Linked DNA regions of Drosophila melanogaster. The protein of the gene in region 1 interacts with the protein of each later gene in a pairwise test. Each region holds a gene or a part of one and is shown in the gene's direction. Other genes may lie near its edges. The genes, in order: CG13312, CG13482, Dora and zld.

Region 1 (4,812 bases):
CTGACAGCCGAGGACTCCTATTCCCAGAAAGATCACTAACCGCAGCATTTTTGAATTACACGGAGTTGACAGCGTTTGAGCAAACGGAATTGTTGAGTTGCAATCTAATCTTGTGTAAGGGCAGTATCTATATTTATGTTTGTTTTGTAAACGCTTTAGTTGTGTGTTGCGACTATAAAAAATTATTTATTTATTTTTAAAAGCAATTGTTATCAACGCTCCCAAAATCTTTAGACTATATGATTGTTTTTTTTTATGAATTTTTATGTGATGGTAAGTGTCAAGCTGGTAATTCCATTAGTGCACCTGGCTGGCACTTCGGTGCCACAATACCCCGATGAGCTATTGAAGTAAGTTTGTCCAGGACAATAGTAGAGGCCTCCTGCCCAGTTAGTTGCATTGAGATAACAATATATGTACCTTATTATGAAATAAGCGGTTTAATTTTTTATATACGAGATAATTGAACTCCTAATATTTACTGTCTGCAGGTTGTGTTGAGATCAATGCCGTAGGGAAATCTTCCGTGCTGCTGGACGATGGAACAATAGGTGGTGGGTGTCGTTGACGTAACATCCAGTCCAGTACCACTACCGTCACCCGGACAAGTGGCCTGTGATCCTGCCGCTGGACTACCACAAATATACGGATTATTAAAATCACATACATAGCTCGAGCCACAACTTCCGACGATCTGGGAAGGAGTCGATGTTCCCAGGCACAGGGCAAATGTCCTTGCAGTGAGGCAGGCAAATGTATTGCCACTATCGCAGGTGCCACAACCTATACAGGATCTTTGGGCCACGTCTGTATTGCACGTTACGTCATTTGCGGTGCAATAATAACCCGTGGGACACGTGTAAACGGGACCAGCAGGTAATGCGCTGCTGGAGCAGAATTGAAATGAGGTGTTCGATATACAGGCCACATTGCTAACGGAGGCACACACATTGCAATCCCCACGGATACCGAGAATACGGATCACCAGGAAAACTCCGATTGCCAGCAAGATCAAGCAGCGCAGCATCTTTACAATAAACTAGCGATATTGGTGTCAACCAGTTGGCTTTATGCGCTCGCAGTAATCTTATCACTCGGAGAAACTAGAACTTCCAACAAAGAGTTATTACCAGATTGTTGACGAACTAATAAAGTCAATGTGTCCAATGATATAAAGCGGTTCTTATACTCTATTCAAATTATGCAGTATGTAAATATATTTATATTACAAGATTTCTTTTATAACAATGAACTAGGCACATGTTGCCGGTTTAGTCGCTACACAAGTAGAAGTGCTGGCACTGAAGTATGGTTTACTTGAAGGACACTGCCAGGAATTTCCGGACCAGGTGGAACTCTTGCGAAAACAGTAAATATATCTAAAAACAAGATTGATTAAAAATGAAGATGCACTCATATTAATATACAATATAAACAACTCACTTTAGGCAGCTTAAATCATTGGGATAAGGAAAGCGACCCGTGGAGCTCTTTTGGATACACAAATCATCGATTAAAGCATACTGGGAACACGAGGCACTTGTGCCGTTTGGTGAGGCCACACAAGGATTGCCAATTTGGTATAGACACACCTCTCCTGTCGAACAGGGATATTCATTGCTTGCAATTTCATTCACAGCATTGCAAAGTGCAAAAGTTGTTGGACTAGTACAGGCGAATGGTATAATTCCGTCACACTTTCTGCAATCATTGCAGGATGCAAAAGCCTCGTTGGAAGTGCATTTCTCTGGCAATCCCGTACAAAATGTATTATTTGGACATGTATACACGGTACCTGTAGGAATAGCGTTTGCCGAGCAGTTTTGGTACTGATTCTTGGACACGCAGGCTACATTGCTCTCAGAGGAACAGATATTGCACTCGGCCTGGCTAAATTTCACTAGAGTGGCCAACAAAAATACTGAAAAGAGCAGGTGCCGTTGCATTTTCAAGAGTAACTGCATGTATATTCAAACTTTACAAACTATATAGGCAACTTTCTTATCCAGAAAGCTATTTAAGATAAGGCTATTTGAGTAGTAAAAAAGCTAGTGATATCTATTTATCCTTGTCGCCTAACAGGTTTCATACATATTCAGTTTTATATATCGCTATTATATTACTATGTAAACATACAACAAAAATAACCCAATAAAAATTCGCCAACACCAAAAAGTATGCTACCCTTTTCAGTCCGTCAAAGCAGCAAGAGCTTATCTAAATTGGAGCAGTAGCCAAGGTCCCGCCTGCCGAGGTCTTTGTGGATTAAGAGCAATCTGCATGCTCCAAAATAGCTGCCAAAAAAGCGCTCTATTTAAGCCACATGCCTGCCAGGCACAGACATCAGTCGGAAAAAACAATTGCAACCCGAAATGTCGCCTAACCGTGTTTGCTTGCCACTTGGCCTGCCGCTGTTGCTTTTCCTGCTCGGTTGCCTTGTGTCCTCGACTCATGGCACCTGCAACGTCTGCAACACCGTCAACAATCTGACCTGCTACTCCTCGACCCAGATGCAGTCCTGCCAGGTGGACGTCCTGTCCACGGCCACGCCCACCGATTGCCCCAGCGGCTATGTCTGCGTCAGCGGCTCCAGCGGTGTGCTCTGCCAGCCGGAGGACTCGGCATCTGACAGTCAGGCGGACTGCCAGGAGTGCAACAAGTGCGATGAGACCCAGACGTTCGCCTGCACCGGAACCCAGAGCTTCGCCCTCTGCCTGGGCACAGATACCGTCCAGGATTCGGTGGGCACCTGTGCCTCCGGTTATGTGTGCAACATCAACGACACCCAGATATGCGGTCTGCCAGCGGATGGGGTAAGTTCGCCTTTCTTCTTCTTGGTGGAAATGGGATGTTTGAGAAAGAACAGGTGCTCCAGGATGCTGAGACGACTCTGAAAGGAAATTAAACTTTCAAGAAGCACTATTCATTAGAATGTGATACCAAGTGACTGGAGAAAATAAGCTCTTTGTATGCAATTTGAAGTGTTTCGTTAAAGCTTGAATTATTATAATTGATTTTGAGGAAACCAAGGTGTTTTTAGGAAATTTACTTGTATGTCTAATAGGACAAAGAAAAACGCTGTTCATTCCGTGACAGAATATGTATATTCCTTTCCTCTGGCCCACAATAAATAATAAATCTACATAACTCTGCAGGTGATGCCGACCTGTTCGTATAGCGATGACTCAACCACAACCACGGTGAGCAGCACCACCAGCTCCACCACAGCGGCACCACCTTCCACCAGCTCGGCATCCACTTACTGTGCGGCGGTTCAGTCGCAGGGAAAATACGCGGTCGGATATAACGCGTATACGACCTGTCGCCAGTATATCTACTGCACTTTGGTTGACGGAAGTTGGATTGGCCAGACCTACACTTGTCCGGGATCCATGTACTTCGATAGTGCCTCCGAGATGTGTGTGTCCACCATGCCATCCACCTGTTCCACAACTGCAACAACGAGTTCCACGACGACTGCGGCACCCACGACCAGTAATCCGGAGGCATATTGCCAGGCGATGCAGTCGGCGGGCTACTACCCGGTGGGTACGGATGCCAGCACCACGTGTCATCAGTACATCGACTGTTTTCTGAACGGAGGCACTTGGGGTGGCAATATGTACACATGTCCCGGTAGCCTCTACTACAACAGTGCCAGCAGAACATGTGTCTCCACCTTACCATCCACATGCTCCACCACAGTGGCCAGTTTAACCCTCAATGGAGTGGTTTTAGATTAAAAAAGGAATCTCTATGCAAAGAGTATTTGACGGTTTATTTATAATGAGCTGAACATTAAAGACAGTAGCCGGGATTTACGTAGACGCAACTCTGAGTTTGAGCAACAAACCAGGAATCTGTGGGACAGTTATATTCGGCAGATTTGATAAGAACGTTCTTTTGAAAGTAACAACTAATGTAGCTGTAAAGATAAGTGGTTAAATTAAATGAGTGATGTGGAAAATTTTACGCAAAATTCTGTACGCACCGCTGGCAATAGGGATCCGCAGGAATGACGGGAAAAAGACCAGTGGCATTCCTTTGGGCACACATCTGGGCAGGAGTTAGAGGCGTCACTGTAGTGGGCGTCTCGGTGGTTACAGTTGAATCGGTGCTGCTTTCAGTTGTGCTCTCAGTGCTACTTTCAGTGGTACCGCCAGTAGTTTCGGTGGTCACGGACGCTGCAGTGGTGGTGTCCACCAGTTCGTCATTTATGTCACAGGTCAGCGTTTGACCCGCGACCTCAGGCACACAAATCGCAGTGCTGCTGGCATCACAAACCGTACCCGTGGGGCAGTAACCAAATTGCCCAGTGGGTCTAGTGGCTCCATAGCACATCTGAAAGATACCACGACTCTGGCACGCGAATAGATAATTCCGATTGGCACTACATTGGCCACATTGAGAGGTATCCCCGCAACTGGGAGGCCGCTGGCTGCTCTTCTGAACACAAATCGCCGTGAGATTGGTGCAGTCAAATCCTTCTAAGCAATGGTATAGCTGATCACGATGTGGAGTTCCATCTGAAAAATCACTATAAGTCAATAAAAACCCTTTTAAAATTATATTCCGCAATTAATTACCTCCAAAACACAAGTAAAAGGACGTGGAGTTGATGCAGGCCACTTGATTTGATTGACAGACATTGCAATCGGACACCGTTTGTGCCACCATAAAAGCCAGAACCACCTGTAAAATATTTTTGCTCTTCACTTTTCCTCTTGGTATACCACAAAAGCGTTATTACCATCACTAGTCCTTTCACTACATTTTCAATCCTTTGGGTCATTTTTGGACTTCCGAACTGCT
Region 2 (3,895 bases), 5.5 Mb from region 1:
CGGTGACTCACGAGCAGACATAACAAATAAATTCACCAGAAAATCAGAGCCAGCCAAATCCCGTAAATCGCAAATTTTCTATGCATTTTACCCGTTTGCAAAATCAGATGTGGAAAAAGGAACCAAAGCAACCCCAGACAGTAGAATATATATATATATATATATATATATATATATAGAACGAAACCATAAAAAATGCAACAGACCATAATAATTTCAACGTTTATTTTTTTGAACATTTTCTGCTTTTGTCGCAATCTTCCACAGGATCCCTCCACACCAGACCCCCCTTTGGTCCATCGAATTCAGGGTCTGACTATGCAAAAATGCAGCAGCCAAAAAGCACATAAAATTATTATGTGACGAGGAACGTGGGATGCGAATATATGGTGGTAGTGGGGGGAAAAGCGGAGGACAATGCTTAAAGGCATTTCGGACTCGGCCAAAAATCAGACTCAGCATGTGCGCATAAAGCTCAAATAAACTCAAGTTGTTGACAAAGGGGTTAAAGGCCATAATTGTGGCCGTCGGCAGAAGGGGTTAATATGAATGGGGTGGCCTAACGCTTCCCCATGGGGAACCTTCCAAACGTGCCAGACTGAAAGTGGAATTTTCATTGGATGTGTAAACAAAACCAGCGGGGGAAAATGAGCCAGATGATCAAGTCTGAAAAGCTTTCGGTACGGTAGCACTAAAGTGAGTTTTTAAGGGGATATTCTCTGCTTTATGGCCGTGCTAATGTATTTTTTTTTTACAGAATAAAATTAGATTTTATGAATTTGTATGAAGGACATGTTATTTTATTATGATTTGCTTATGATTTATTGCAAATCTCTGAGACTTCCTGAGGTTTCTTGTAAATTACTATTTATTATGAGTTTATAATAAGTTGCCAATAAATTCAATTTATTGTTCCAATTTCATTAATAAACTTCGAAGTTTTTTTCTAAAACTTTCTCAAATATCCTTTTCTTCTTATTTTCCTCCAAGGTTGCCTTATCTACCACCAAAAGATTTCTTTACAAAGCTAATAAAATGTATTACCAAACTTTTGCAGAAGTTCTTTGAAAAGCAACTCCATAAAATCAAATTTATGTATTACCTGCATTGCCCCCTTCTATTTGCTTTCCCCCTACTTTCCAGCTTCTTTTTTACTCATTTCCTATATCGTTTTAGCTCCCTGAACTGCAGGAGGACAAAACCTCTGGTCGCACTTTAAATAAGCATTAAATTGATACAGCATAAAGTTGTTTCCTTCTCTTAGCCCGCTCTGTCTACCCCACTCTTTTGCTCCCAAGACGCACTCCAGACACACTCTAATCGCTTTATAACTTCTAACGCAGTTTATCAGAGTCGTCCGCAGCCCGTGGCCCCTCATCCCTTAATTCCAACACCCCCAAAAGTCATCCTTCCCATGCCATTAAGGCGGCTCAAAGGCAAAAGTTATTGTCACGCACTGAAGTCGCCTTCATGTGGAGTTGTGTGGTGCACTGAGAAAATCATTGGTTTTTAATAACTCGGCTCAAAATTATATTACATCAGTACGCAGGCTCTAGTCTTACAGTAAATATCAAATATTCTATTAATAAGATCAGTTAAAAAAGCTACTTTATTTTAGCAACATTATGAAAAGTTAACATTAGTTTACAGGGAATCCCTAAAATCATGTACCTATTTTGAGAGATATCCTCTTCATGGTAAATAACTCATACTCAATACACTGATAAGATTGTCAAGCTAAAGACGAAAATATTATGCAAGTGTTGATAAGAAGAAATTATATCAAGAGATTGTTTCTTTCTGTGCAATTTTTTTTATTGAAATGGTCGAAAGGGGGTATATAAACACCTCCACCCATGCCAATCTTCATGCAAAAGCTTTCTGGTTATTGCCTTCCTGCTCGCACTTTCTCTGTGCTTGTGTTGGGTGTCTTTAGTGCCTTTTTGGTTTTCCTCGCTTTTCTTCTTTCGTACTGTATTTTCTTATTTTTTGTTTAGGACTACGTCTGGCAAACAAGGCGGAAATTATTGTTGGCGGGGTCTTAAAGTTTTATTTTACCTTTTACATATCTATTTGTCAGCATCCTTTTTTTTGCAATATCAAATTGATGTTTTGTCTGCGAAATACTTTTTGTTTTTTCTTACATCTGCTATTACTATTACTGTCATTACATTCGTTAAGAATGAAAAGAATAAAAGCGCTTAAATGTTATGAATTAGTCCGGTGAGTAATTCCCGATCCATGATTGCACAAAAACATTGCTATCTTTATAGCCCACTTTGAGTATTAGCAATAGAATCGAAGTGAATCCCCAGTGAGTCAGTCGAATACACACCCCCTTCGATAAGATAAAGCAGCACAACAATAATACTATCTGAATTGTCAAGCTGTTCAAGTGGGATGTGTATATAAACTGGTCATATCAGCGGATGGAAAGGCAGTTAGCATTCAACAAGCAACGAGAGCAGTTTTCGAAAGGAATATATCAGTTTGATAAGGATTAAAAAAAGTAAAACATTCAAAATGTCGCCGCCACATCACGAAAATCGCCTGTTTGGAATCCACCTTGGCCTGAATTTGGGTGGAGGTGGACATCATCACCACCACCATCATCCACCGCCTCCGGTGCACCACTATCACCCACCGCCTCCGGTGCACCACCATCACCACCACGGACCTCCAATGCACCACCACGGACCCCCGCCGCACCACCACCACCACTACGGACCTCCGCCACCGCCGCCCCACTACGATCATCATCATCATCACCACGGCAGCCACTTTGACCATCATCATGGTCCTCACCATGGACATCATCATCATCACTGCTAGTACAATGGAATGGAAGGAAGGTCTTAAAAACCACAGCCATCAGGTGGCGAAATAATGAAAGTGTTTATAAGCGAATTTAATTTATTACATAAAGTGTACAAAAAACAAAACCAAAAAAATCATTAAAACCACTTAGACTTATACAAAGACATTTTTGAATGCTAGTTTCCTTGGGGAAAGTAAAAATAAATAAATTAAGAAGTACGATGATAATTCATGTAGAATTTTTTATATATGTATGTACTCGTAATGGATTTCTGCATTCCAAAAATACGTGTACTGCGCACTTAGTTAACAAATGTCCATACGATAAAGTATAAAATAACAACTAATCTTATCTTGATTGACATGACGCAAAGATTTCACCAAAACGTAATTGAACGATTCTCTATACATATAAAGCTGATTTTAAAGCCAAAGGAATCAAGAATAATTTTAAAACTTAATAATTCAAGAAATTCTAATCCAATAAGAAGATTATTGGCAACCACAAACACAAAACAAGACCACCCACGAAAACAAGTTTGTAAGCCGATAAATACAAATGAAATTAAATATAATTTTAGTACGGCTTAGATTCGCTTCGGGTGGGTCAAACAAAATGTTTGCCAATTACAAACCCATTTCGAAACGCTTTTATTTTTCTGCGGTTGTCACAAAACGCTAATTAGACAGCAGCTACCATATAGAGTGGGTCTCTCAATACCCGTATATATTTGTCTGTGGGTTATGTGGCCTGTCATAAAATATAAAATGCTGCCCCCGGCGTAGGTCGTATGGGTATCGACACCTGGAAAATATTGGTAATTAAAATTTGCCAGTTGTCGACCAGAAATCCGAAAAAACCGCTTCCATTTTGGCCTGTCTAATAATGTTGTAAAACATGTTGCCATTAAGTCAAGCGACAGACGCCGAAACGCCCCAAAGGTAAAAACTAAAAAAACAGGAAAAATAAGGAAAATGATTTGGTGGTAGGAAAATACCCTACACATAATTTAGAAGCTGAAGAATAAACTTATAAAAATTAAGATTTAAGTGATCTAATGATTAAAATGATAGTGTG
Region 3 (6,184 bases), on another chromosome or scaffold:
CAATTTTTCTCGGCTATTCGTTGACATGCGTAGTTGCGAACAGAATTACAAATGTTGGACAATAATAGTTGTGTGTAAATGTTTACGCAGCTAAATCATAGTTCATACATATTCTGTTTTAATCTTGTTTCTGGAAACATATTGAAGTATATTAGTATATATTTATAATATATGTTTTTCGTAAGCAATAACTTTTCTTTTTTCGTTTAGTCCATTTTTTGTTTTTTTTTTTGTTTTGGTAAGTCACATTTTGGAAAACTTGTTAATTCAGTTCTTTGAAAATATATTAAAATTGAATATTTTCAATATTTCAATTTTACTTTTAAACTATTACTCTACTCTCATTTTTTTCTCGTTAACTTAAGTGAATTAATAGGGAACGTCAAAGTGTAAGCAAAAGCAAACAATCTTCTTACTTTTCTTCAAAACATGTGCAGTGCGTTTCGCAGCTGTAAGGCCAAGACATTGGCACTTACAGTCACGGAACGCACTGCATTTGTGCTAGTACATACATATATATAGAAGTCGTTTATCCAGCTAATACTTGTTGCAAAACGTTTGTTAAACTATATATAATATACATATATATATATAACGATCGAGTCAAGCAATAAAATCAAAATTTTCTTCACAAAACAATAAATAGTCTTTGGCGTTATCAATTCCGCGTACTGTTAATTCATTCTAAGCGAATGTATAACGATAAACAAAAGCAAAGGATGTGAGGATTTGAATCAAAGGCATAGTAAAGTATTTTGGATGGAATTGATTATCAATCAAGGGCTAACTTTAAAAAAAAAATATCTTTGACAAATTATTGGGCCAAGTCCGTCTTTGTATAGTGAAAACAAGTAACATAGTTTCCGACATACAAGCTATGCTTGATTTTTGAATCGGATTGGGTCACTACTTGTCCTCCGGCGAGGCGGAGGTGGCCATTTTGGCGAAAGACCGCGGCGGAGTGGGGCTGCGTTTCTGCAGGGTACGCATGCCGAGCGAGTAAGCCGCCGTGTCCCCCGAAGCGGTGTCCGTATCCGAGTACTCGTCATCGCTCTCGCTGGCATGTCCTGCATCCGTCTCGTACGGATCCACCTCCTTCTGATACACGTTGCTCATTTGATCCGTAAACACATCCGAAGCGACGACCCCGCCGTCGTGTTGATCCTCGTTCTCATAAAAGAAGTACGACAACTGCAGGTGCTCCTCCGCACAGTTCGTGCTCAAGGCGTCCGGAATCAAGTGGCCATTCGTCTCGAGGCGCTTCTGAATCTTTAGGAACATGTTCGGTGATACATCCATTTGGGGCAGCGTCTGCTGCGCCTGCCACTTCTCCAGCAGCGGCGGATTGGCTCCAAAAACGCCGTAGTACAGCTTGCAGGCGCGAAAGCAGCGTAGTCGGTTCGAATTTGGGCGAATGCGACGCAGCACACGCAGCTGTGACTCCACCACGTGCAAAAACATGTATTGCTGATTTCGGTTGGGCAGCGAGGTGACCAGCACCGCACGACTGGTGTTCAAACAGAGCTGAGGCAACGGTTGAGGCCACAGCGAGTGCAGCAGACGCTTGAAAAGCTGCGTTAGCGTGGAGTTTTGGAAGAAGTGGCGATCGGGGGCATTTGTCGCCGCTCCTGCGGGACGCCAACGTACTGCATCAGCCCAGATGCGAGCGGCGGCGCCATCGAACATGGTCAGCCCCAAATAACGCATGCAGCGCTGGCAGTACAAGTGATCGTCGCGATTGAGCATGCACGAACTTTCTTCGTTAAAGTTGATGACCACATAGTTGAGGCCATAGAAAAGATCCGTTTCGGCGGGCACTAAGCTAATTGGTTGGGTCTTGCCCGCTGGTCCATGATTGTGGCAAAAGAACTCAGTGGGATCCACCAAGAGGCTGGGAAACTCCCTCAACCTGCGATAGCTTCGGCCTGCCACCAATTCCGCTCGGCAATCACGACAGTTGATAGTGATGGGCTCGTTCTCCTGGCAGGAGAGGAGTAGTGGCGCCAGAGGCACGTCCACAGCGCTTCCATCCACGCTGGCCAGATCAATCTGGTTGTAGTTGAAGCGGAAACTGATGTTCCTGCCACTGACCAAGAACGTGGACAGGCAGACAATGTCCATACCATACTGCGCGTGCCGGATGAGCATCAGCTTGTCGGAGTCCTCGCTGTCGCTTTCGGAGCTGGAATCCAAGTCGATTGCCTGATTCTTAGGTTTCTCGCTGATATAAACATTGTAGTCGCGGACGACGACGCGAGTCTTCTGGCTCTGCGAAACCTGTTGGTCGAATCGCAGGAAGACCACGCCGCTGCGTAGGTTCGGGCGCAGTTCGATGCACAGCCCGGCGATGGGCATCTTGACCAGTTCCTGGGAAAGCGCGAGAAGATTGTGAACACCACCAACAAAATGGGCCTATCGTTACTTATGGTTTTTCGATATTAAGAGCGTCACTCGACAAAAACTATCGATTGTCAAGAATGAATGTCAGTGTGACCGTCATTTGAAAACTGGGAAATCGTACGCGGAAAACCGATACTATTGACCTTATCGAATATTCAGCCGAAAATGATCGAAAACCCATATCGAGTGTGTGAGCACTATCGCTGACCACTAACACCAACAACGTTTAGGAGCAAAAGAGTCGACGATGCGATGGGTAAAAACAAAGCCCCGTGTAAAAGTGTCCGAAAACCGTGCGTAGCATCAAACAAATCGTAACTCGGCCAGCGAATCTAGGTGCCGTTGTTTTCGGGGACGCGTGTGCAGTGCCGTTTTAAGTGTCGGTAATCGCCAAAATCCACAAAAAATTTAAGGATTTTTTAAAAAAACGTTCGCTAAACGCATTTCGTTCGTTCACTCACACACACACGTAAACCTAACACACGCACAGACGCAGACAAACACAACGCGCAGCGCATATACACACACAAAGAAAAGAAGGCAGTGAAAATCGACAAGCGCACGCATGCACACACACACTGACAAGCACGCAGGCGAAAAAGTGTTGATATATATCCAATATATTGATGTTGTGTGCAACGTTGTTGTTGCTGCTGCTACTGCTGTGTGAGTGAGTGAGGGCGAGCGAGAAAGAGTGAGTGCGGTGCGCGCAGGATAAAGCGAAGATGAGCCACAAAGCGAAGGAGTGAAAAAATAATTAACGGCAAAGCGGACTGCAAAGCGCAGAGCGGATAAAAGAGGAGCGTTAACAACAATAACAACGACTGGGGGTCCCCTGCAAAATCAACAACAACAGCAAGAACCACATCAACAATAATAACAGAAGCAAGAACATCAACAACAAGAACTACAACTACAAATTGGCCCTCTTATTTCGGCAGTCGCATAGCATAGCCCCATCTCGCTCTCTCGTTCGTTGGGGGATACGAAAAAGTTCACATGCAACAACAACGACAACAAACAATAGCAGTCGCAGTCGACGCGGGCAGAGGCAGCGACAGAGACCGCGGCGCACTGAACGTATTTTGTACATATAAACAAAAATAGTTTTTAAACTCCCCAAAATCTAAATCTAAACCTAAAGTTAAGTCTAAAAGGGAAACTTAGAGCCCTAAGCATAAATCTACAGTTAATAAGTTAATTAAAAGCAAGCGAGTCCGGCAGTGTGCTTGAGTTTGAAAGGGGAGAACCGAAGGAGAGGAACACAGCGAGAGAGAAAAGAGGAAGAGAAGAACGCTCAAGAGAAATTCGCCTTTTACACGATTTTAAATTGAGCGTTTGGCAGAGATCCATTATACATATACATCCATCCAAAAAGAGAGGAGAGTAACAGTGAGAGAGACGGAGGAAGAGGAAGCTGAGGAAAACAAACAAACGGGGGAGCAGCTGAAGAAGAAGAACAAGAATCAGCTTCAGCAGTAGAAGGAGCAACTGTAAACACACACAATCTCAGCCTCACGCTGGCGAATCGCAACGGCGGCAACAACAACAGAGGAGGAGGAGGCGGCGGTAACAACAACAACAATGGAGGAGGCGGAGGAGCGGCTGCAGTCGGCGCTGGCGCCGAAGGAGCAGCAGGAGGCGGCGCAGGAGCCGGAGCGGCGGGCAGAGACGCTGCAGGAGCAGCGGCCAACGAATGGAATCCGGAGGAAATGGACCGCTTCAGCTTCGACGACTCCATCCGCTTCGAGGAAGACTCCCTCTGCAGCTGGAGCTCTGAACCGGAATCGCTGTGCAACAACTGGCGCGGCTGGAAGAAGCCCGCTGCAGGCAGCGGCGCAGGCAATGGCGGCTTGAGCGGCATGGGCGGTATGGCTGTGGCCGGCGGCTCAGGAGCACCGCCGTTCGGAGGAGCAGGAGCCTCTGGTTCCTGCACACCGGGCGGCAATGGAACGGCCATGGCCAACACATCCACCTGCGGCAGACATTATGGTGAGTAGCATCTCCTTGTTGCTAGGGCGGGATTTAGGGCAGTGTACCCGGACCATTGAGCATTACACCAGTGAAACTACAGTTGTGAAAATCACAGATACAAATCTAAACTGAAGAGAGCTTCTTAAAATCCGAAAAACATTGTACAACATTGACAGTTTTTAGAGTTCGAAAAGTGTGCGTCCTAAAGATATCAAAAAAGTATCCTCTTTTATTCAGGAATTAAGAAAGACTTTCTCATAAGAAGCTTTCATATGTCGCATACAAAAGATATTGACTTCCTTAATTGTTTTTAAAACCATAAGGCAACCAAAATAGTTTATACCTATAACTTTCCCTTTACAATGAGAAACTTACATGTACATTTTATACAGATTTATATCCGTATAGCGTTAAATAATCAATTACTTGCTACACAATTTACTTTTTAAGCTAAGTAGAGTGATATGCTTTAGTTCTATGTTTTACTAGCTTGGTCGCATTTGGCTATTTGCAATATGGCTACACTGTGCTGCCTGTAATTATACGCATGACCTTTTCGCTTTTGGTAAATTCTGTAAAATTGACTTAGGCACAACAACGAGCAGGCTGTAATTGTTGTTGCCCTCTGTCTGCAATTGTCTTCTTCGTTTCCCCGCATTTCCTCGAAGTCCTCTGCTTATCGCTGAAGTCAAAATCACGACTTTGGCTGCCAACGTTTTTTATTTTCATTCGTTTATACGAGTTTCCTTTTTACCTTTTTGTTGCGTCCCTTTGTCTTTCCCTGTGGCTCATTACGCTTGTGCATGTGGCTGGGGTATTGTTTTTTTTTTTTGTTTCGGGCCTGCCAAGAGACGTTCCTTACACGTTTTCTGTATCCTGTGCGCCGCCGCACAGCACTATCATCATGTAATATCTGGATATCTGGCTGCGACTGCGCAGTTCGTCCTCGTCGCTGTTTCTCTTTCGTATCCTCCATTCGTCTTCGTCATTTGCCCATCCACTGCATTCGTTTGCTTATTTTCCTTTGTTTGACTGAGCAGTGTTGCTGTGGGGGGAAACAGGACTATATTTGGAAGGGTCAAAGGACTAAACAGAGCGGCAAAGCCGCCAAAGAACCTCCAACCATTCAGTTGTCTTCTTTGTGGATTCTTTGATAGCCAGGGTTACCAGCTTGTTGATTTTATTGATATTTATTGATACTAAGCACTAGTATTACAAAATATAGTATATGTACTAGGCAAAACTAGCTGAACTTTGCTCAATCTTAATCATTTTTATCTTTCTGTTATGTTATACAAATCTTTTACTTCCTATAAACAGAGGAGTTAGCCAAATATCTATTTGTTCATATGCTGTTGGTTTGTAAACCTAAAGGACCAATAGATAGTAGCTTAAGCTATTCGATTTTGGCGGGAAAATAGCCAAAGAGCTAGCCCTGCGACTGGGTTTGTGTGTGTGTAGTGGCGAAGCCAGCTGCATTTTCATGCTCGAAAGACATAATAACCGCATCAAAAAACTATATTGCCTCAAAACGATGTCGCTGCTGCCAGCTGAACACGCTGACGTCGACTTCGACGTCGATGCTGAGGCGACGAGAGCCTCGCTTTGTTGTGTCAAAGAACCTTTTCAAGGATACCACCACAACCTGCCCAAGGGGATGTAATAAAAATAAAGACGAGGACGACGACGACGACGACACGGAGGAGAGTCCATTATTCCCATCGCACCTTGTAGCTCCTCCGCCCCGTTTGCTGTGGCTCCCCAGATATGGTAGTTCTTCAGATAGTTGAAACGGAAGAAGCCCATTGAT
Region 4 (5,855 bases), on another chromosome or scaffold:
AGTGTATGAATGTATACTAAATATACTGAATAAAAATATATTTTTAACCAACAAATTGGTTTCATAGATATCTCCTAACGGAGTTTAACTATCCGTGAGATATGTACATACATATACATATGTGGAATATCAGATCTCGGGATTTGCAGCCGGTTTTCACTGCCAATCACTCAACTCGCCAATCGTTTTCTCCCTCCCTCGCATTGCCCCATCCTCCTCCTCCTCCTCCTTCTTCTTCGCCTTCTTCTCCACACTTCCACCCACATTCGTCGTCCGTCTCGCCCGCGTCTTCGTCTTCGTCGTTTGCTTTATTGTTTTATTGTCAGTTTAGGGATTTGACAATTTGCTTGCTGATTTTTTATGACAATCATGTATGTAAATTTCAGGCCTCTCTGTCGCACTCTTCTCCGCCGCCTCACTCTCGCCTTCTCTCGCTCCCTCCTCCGGCCCTACTCCAATCTAAACTCTTCCTCAAGGCCCCACGCACACAGCCGCACAGTGGAGTTCGTATCTGTGTGGCTGCGATGGAGGTACTCGTATCTGGGCTCCATTAGCCCTCGCCTTTTCTCTTACGAAATTTTTAAATACTTTTGGGCCATTCTCAGCTGAGCTTGATTCCCAGCTCCAGTTGCCCAGCAAAAAAAAAAAAAAAAAATAAAACCTAAAACAACTTGAAACCCCATAGTTACCAACAGATTCAAACCCTTTCTGTCGCTATTTATACCCCTTAATCGTAGATTGGAAAAAGCATACCCATTCGAAAGACGAAAGATCGCCTGCATCTTTGGAATATATATGTACATACATACTTATGCATACTTACTTACATGCTTAGTCTTCTTCTAGTCTTCTATTTAAAAAAGTTTCTCTAGTGAGCTTATGATCTTATGACAGAATCTGATAACAGGGTATCCGTTAGTCCTAGCTTACGATTTTTTCCTTTCTTTTTAAATGTAGATTAGCTTTCGTTGTCTCTCAGCTCTGCACTCCCGTATGCCCAACGCAATAAAAGTTTGGTTTATTAATTTTTTGAACGTTCTCAACTTTTACGAGGCCCGTGACGTCGATAATCGTCGGTTGCCGGTCGCTCAGAAACTAGGCTAGTAGTGCGAATTGGTTTTGGCCCGGTCCAGTGAGTCAACATCTGACTAAGACGCTTCGAGGAGTCTATTAATAAGCCGCCGTTCGTACCAAGGCTAAAAAAAAAAAAACGGGCACAACTGAGCAACCAAGCCTAGAACTGCAACACAGCTTTAAATTAGGCGAGTTGCGATATGGTAATCGGTGGATCACACAAAAGGGCCAACCAATCTTCGCTGTGTTCTTGAAAAATCCACATTATCGCCACTTAAGCTAAATTTTGCTATTACAATAGAGTACATAAACATTTATTTATATGGTAAGTTCTTCATAGCGTAGATGACTTCTACGAACTGCCAGAGTTTTAAGCTAGAGATCGGAATAAACATTTCGAAATCCAACCATCCTAAAGAAAACAATTTCATATAAAATTTTTAGTGCCTAGGGCGGCTTAAATATATGCAGTTCGCTGTATATATCCAGAAACGCAAATACAGCGAAATAATTTCATAAATAAACAGTGGAAAATCATTTTAACACGATCAAAGCTATTGATTTGCTGCTAGAAAGGCAATGCAGAAGTTGTGTATTATTACAAATACACTTTACAATTGCGATCCATCCAAATTCTACGGATTGTTAAGTGCAAAACCGGTTATCAATGACCTTACTTAAATTACTTTTTTATAACCGTTCAGCAATTTTCTGTGGAAAATTGTGATGGCTTGCAAAAAAGGATTCAAATTTGTGTGCATTATAAAACGTATGTATATATGTGTGCATTATAAAACATATGTATATATGTATATTAAACATCAGTTTTCACTAATAATGCCATTCAAGGCATAAAAATATAAGCATTCAAATTGCGACTAATCGTTTATGTACATGTCTTCGAGAGGATTTATTAGTTCGATCTAAACAGATTGCAAAACTTAGGTCTCAACTAATGCTAATTATGCATGGGATACTTTATCTTGATTCCGAGCTAACTTGTGGTACTCTCAATGCAAAGGGTATTGCAAAGTAAAGGCAGCGCAAAGCAAAGGCAAAACCAAAAGCAAAGCAAAATCAAATGCAGCGGCGTTGACGGCAGCCGTGCGCGACAGAGACAGCACGCACATAACCGAAACGCCGCCGCGCAGTGTATATAGCGCACACACACACACAGCCACGCATGTGCGTCGACTGCGACGCCGCAGCCACAGTCGCAGCCGGCGTCGCTGCCGGCAGAACGGGTAGAACGAATGTGCCGCATGCACGGCGGTGTATTTGTCGGTCATTTGTATTTGGAACGCCGTAGCAGACAGAAGGACACGGGTGAAAAAGCGACGAAGCGTGCGAACGGAGTGGAGCGGCTACTTTTAGCGCCCTTTTTTGTTTCATTTTCCCCACTCACAAAACGCAACATTTTTGGCAACAACTTTTCGGCAAACCAATTGAAAAACAAACTAAACGAACTAATCGCGGCTCGGGAATCAACAACAAATTTAATTCCGATGCAATACTTGTGTTCGTAAACAATTTTTTTCTGTTCGATCCGATCCCCGATAAACGATAAACGCGAATTCCAGTGATCTTTTGGAAAAGGGCGAAGCGAAAAGCGAACCCAAACCGAAAAACTCTAAATCACCGGTAAAAAAAAAAGTGGCGAGAGAGAGCAAGAAAGAGAGAGAGAGAGAGATAGGGAGAGTGTGATCACATCGCATCGCCATTCTCGCTTCCCTCGCAATTCGCAAAAACAAAATTCGAAATTCAAAATTGACCAGCATTCGTTGCGGTTCCGATATTGGTTTCTTCAGTTCAGTTCAGTTCAGTTTCGTATTATTTATCGAGTCTGCTGTTGTGTGTCTTTCGTTTCGCCGAAGAGGAGCGGTGAAAGAGAAGAAGGAGGAGGAGCGGAGCAGAAGAAGAAGGAGCGAAGCAGAAGTCCAAGTCCAACGAAGAAGTGCCCAAAGCGAGGCGCAGATAAGTAAGAAAAGCAAAAGAGAACGGAAAAGGGATCTTCATCGAGGATCCTTCATGTATATATTTTTTTCGAGTGTGTGTGTTAGTGTGCGTCGTGAGCGTCCATGTGTGCTCTCCACAAACAATTGCAGTTGACATTACGTTCGCAAGTAAAAGCTATTGTATTTCCACCATACAAATCAAATTACAAAAGTGCCTGCAATTTCGCATCGAAGTGAAATGGACACCAAGAACCGTTAGACACCAAAAGCTTTGAAAACACAGTGTGCATGTGTTTGTTTTTTTTCCGTTTGCAACTCAAGTAACTTCAAACTAATAATGGCTTAAACAATAATTGGCTTATTTTCAGTACAAATACAAAGCACAAAAAAACAAAAAATCACAAAAAAATAAAACGAAACGAGAGCATATAACATAAAAACCCAAAACAAAAACGATCGGCTCAGCAGAGCCAACGAAAAGCAAGCAGCGTAGCAGCAGGAGCAGAGGATGCACCACTGATCCCGGAGAGCTCGAGACATGAGAAGCGAAACACCGAGCAGCCACCAAGCATCGACTTATGTAGCGGTCCATGACGAGCATTAAGACCGAGATGCCGCCCCTGCACGCGGCAGAGGCGCTCGCCTCCAGCAGTGCTACAGACAGTGGTGGGGGAGGAGCAGGAGGAGGAGGAGGAGGAGGTGGAGGAGGATCGGGCGGACCAGGAGCGGGAGGAACGGGAGGCGTAGGCAGTGCGCCCGCCACACCCAATGCCACAATTAGCGCCGCCGCCGACTCCAGTGATAATCAACCCGGCACGCCGCAGCCCACGCAACAGCAGCAATCGACGCAGCAACAGTTGCAGCAGCCACAATCGCAACAGCAGCAGCAGCAGGCCATGGGTGGAGGAGATCCCCAGCAGCAGCAACAGCAGCAGCAGGTAACGGGTATCACCCACCAGCCGTACGCCACCCACCACATGTACTCCGCATCTGGCGGACAGCAGCAACAACAGCAGCAGATCTACGGCGGACTCTACGGCGGGGACATGCAGCAGCAGCAGGGTTACGCCAGCAGCTACATCAACAGCTACGAGCAGTTCTACCAGCAGCAACAGCAGCAGCAGCAGGGCACTGATTACGCCTTTGGCACCGTGGGCGTTGACTATGGCAAGAGCGCCGGTGTTCGCTATCATCCCTACCTGCAGACGCCAACCTCCGGACTGGGAGGCATTCCAACGGCCAGCTCGGCACAGGAGGAGGCGGGCAGTGCGCCCAGCGCGGTCAGCACCACCACAGCGGTGGCCATGAGTCCGCGTGTGGTTAGCAGCAGCAGTCCAACGTCGACGTCCTCGCACCTGCAGCTGGGCAGCTCCAGTGGCCAGACACCAGGCTCACCAGGCGGAGCCGCCGGAAGTGCCGGATGCAAGTTGCAGTGCAAGAAGTGCGGCATCCTCACCACCAACGAGTCGGAGCTACAGGAGCACATCGCCAACGTGCACGGAGAGTCGCCGTACGGCAGCAGCGGTTACGCCAGTTCACCGTACATCAAGGAGGAGATGCCCACACCACAGCCACCCGGCGTTGGATCCGCAACGGCCAATCCCGGCGAATTACTCGACCTAGATTCCCAGAAGATGGTCTATCACCAGCAGCTGCTCCAGCAGCAACAACAGCAACACGACGTGGTCGCTGGACTGCCGCTGGGCGCTCTGCCGGATCCGCTGCACTCGATGCAATCTATGCAGCAGCGCGCACTCCACAGCTGGGAGCAGCAGCCACAGCAGACGGTGGCCTCCGTGGAGGGCCTGCCACCCTACATGCAGCAGGGATTGGGCGTGGGGCTGGGAGTCGGTGTGGACAAGTCGCCCTACTACTCACCAAAGCAGTCACCCTATCATCAGTCAACCGGCGTTGGCGGAGCCACGCTGATCAAGCAGGAGTACGGCGGCCACGGACTGATCAAGTCCGAGTATCCCGATTCGCAGCATTACGTGGACAAGTCCTTCGATCCCACAGCTGGCGGAGCTGGTGGCGCGGAACTGTGCGCCAGCGTGGCCACCAGTCCGGCGGAGTTCCCCAGCACCACTACGGGCGGACCAGGGCAGGAGGGAGCGGCGGGTGCGGCGCCAGGAGGTGGATACCGCGGTTTCGAGCCACCCAGCTCGAGCTCCGTGCTGCCGGCCAACAGCCTGACGGCCAAGGCGGCCACCTGGAAGTCGAACGAGGCGCGCCGTCCGAAAACGTACAACTGCACGGCCTGCAACAAGTGGTTCACCAGCTCGGGCCATCTTAAGCGCCACTACAATACGACGCTGCACAAGAATGCGGTTAAGTCGAGCGGCCAGCCGGATCCAGCCACCCTGCCCATCTCGGCGCACCACCATCCCGCCCGCGACCCGGTGACGAAGCCCAGTCGCAGGGGCAATGCCGCAGCCGCTGCGGCCGCCGCTGCAGCTGCCGCCTCGGCCAGCGGTCAGGGTCAGCAGCAACAGCCGCCGATACCGCCGCCGCCGGCCAATGTGCCACCCCCGGAGCCGCCTAGAAGTCCGCCCGATTATGGCGGAGGAGGCGGCTTGGGCGTGGGAGCGATGGGCGGCGCTGCCATGTCCCAGTACTCGGCCTCACCCTCGCCCACACAGCAGCAGCAGCACCACCTCAACCACCATCAGCAGCAGGCCAACGGCTATGCTAATGGCACCGCCAACGGCTATGGCTACATGCAGCAACAAGTGCAATCCACGACAAACGCTTCACCACAGCACGCTTCCAACAACAACAGCAACAACCAGCAGCAGCAGCAACAACAGCAGCAGCACCATCAGCAGC

Evidence for each region.
Region 2: the proteins of CG13312 (region 1) and CG13482 interact in a two-hybrid assay, tested with the Drosophila melanogaster proteins (one large-scale study listed by BioGRID).
Region 3: the proteins of CG13312 (region 1) and Dora interact in a two-hybrid assay, tested with the Drosophila melanogaster proteins (one large-scale study listed by BioGRID).
Region 4: the proteins of CG13312 (region 1) and zld interact in a two-hybrid assay, tested with the Drosophila melanogaster proteins (one large-scale study listed by BioGRID).

What each region holds. Positions count from the first base shown.
Region 1 is NT_037436.4:8,804,759-8,809,570, reverse strand, and holds CG13312 (uncharacterized protein), read left to right. Parts: upstream 1-2,357; 5' UTR 2,358-2,372; coding exon 2,373-2,813; intron 2,814-3,155; coding exon 3,156-3,743; 3' UTR 3,744-3,760; downstream 3,761-4,812. Other genes in the region: CG13308 (uncharacterized protein), read right to left, coding at 264-420, 483-1,027; CG32024 (uncharacterized protein), read right to left, coding at 1,253-1,379, 1,444-1,946; CG34427 (uncharacterized protein), read right to left, coding at 3,799-3,925, 3,992-4,526, 4,587-4,692, 4,751-4,792.
Region 2 is NT_037436.4:14,326,914-14,330,808, forward strand, and holds CG13482 (uncharacterized protein), read left to right. Parts: upstream 1-2,432; 5' UTR 2,433-2,523; coding exon 2,524-2,832; 3' UTR 2,833-2,972; downstream 2,973-3,895.
Region 3 is NC_004354.4:18,861,328-18,867,511, forward strand, and holds the start of Dora (dorado), read left to right. Parts: upstream 1-2,622; 5' UTR 2,623-4,112; coding exon 4,113-4,392; intron 4,393-6,184. Other genes in the region: CG7326 (uncharacterized protein), read right to left, coding at 907-2,355. UniProt on the Drosophila melanogaster protein: Substrate recognition component of a SCF-like E3 ubiquitin-protein ligase complex that promotes target-directed microRNA degradation (TDMD), a process that mediates degradation of microRNAs (miRNAs).
Region 4 is NC_004354.4:19,780,051-19,785,905, reverse strand, and holds the start of zld (zelda), read left to right. Parts: upstream 1-2,357; 5' UTR 2,358-3,052; exon of another isoform or gene 3,053-3,397; 5' UTR 3,398-3,619; coding exon 3,620-5,855. UniProt on the Drosophila melanogaster protein: Transcription factor required for zygotic genome activation (ZGA), a critical event in early embryonic development during which the developmental control passes from maternally provided mRNAs to the expression of the zygotic genome after fertilization.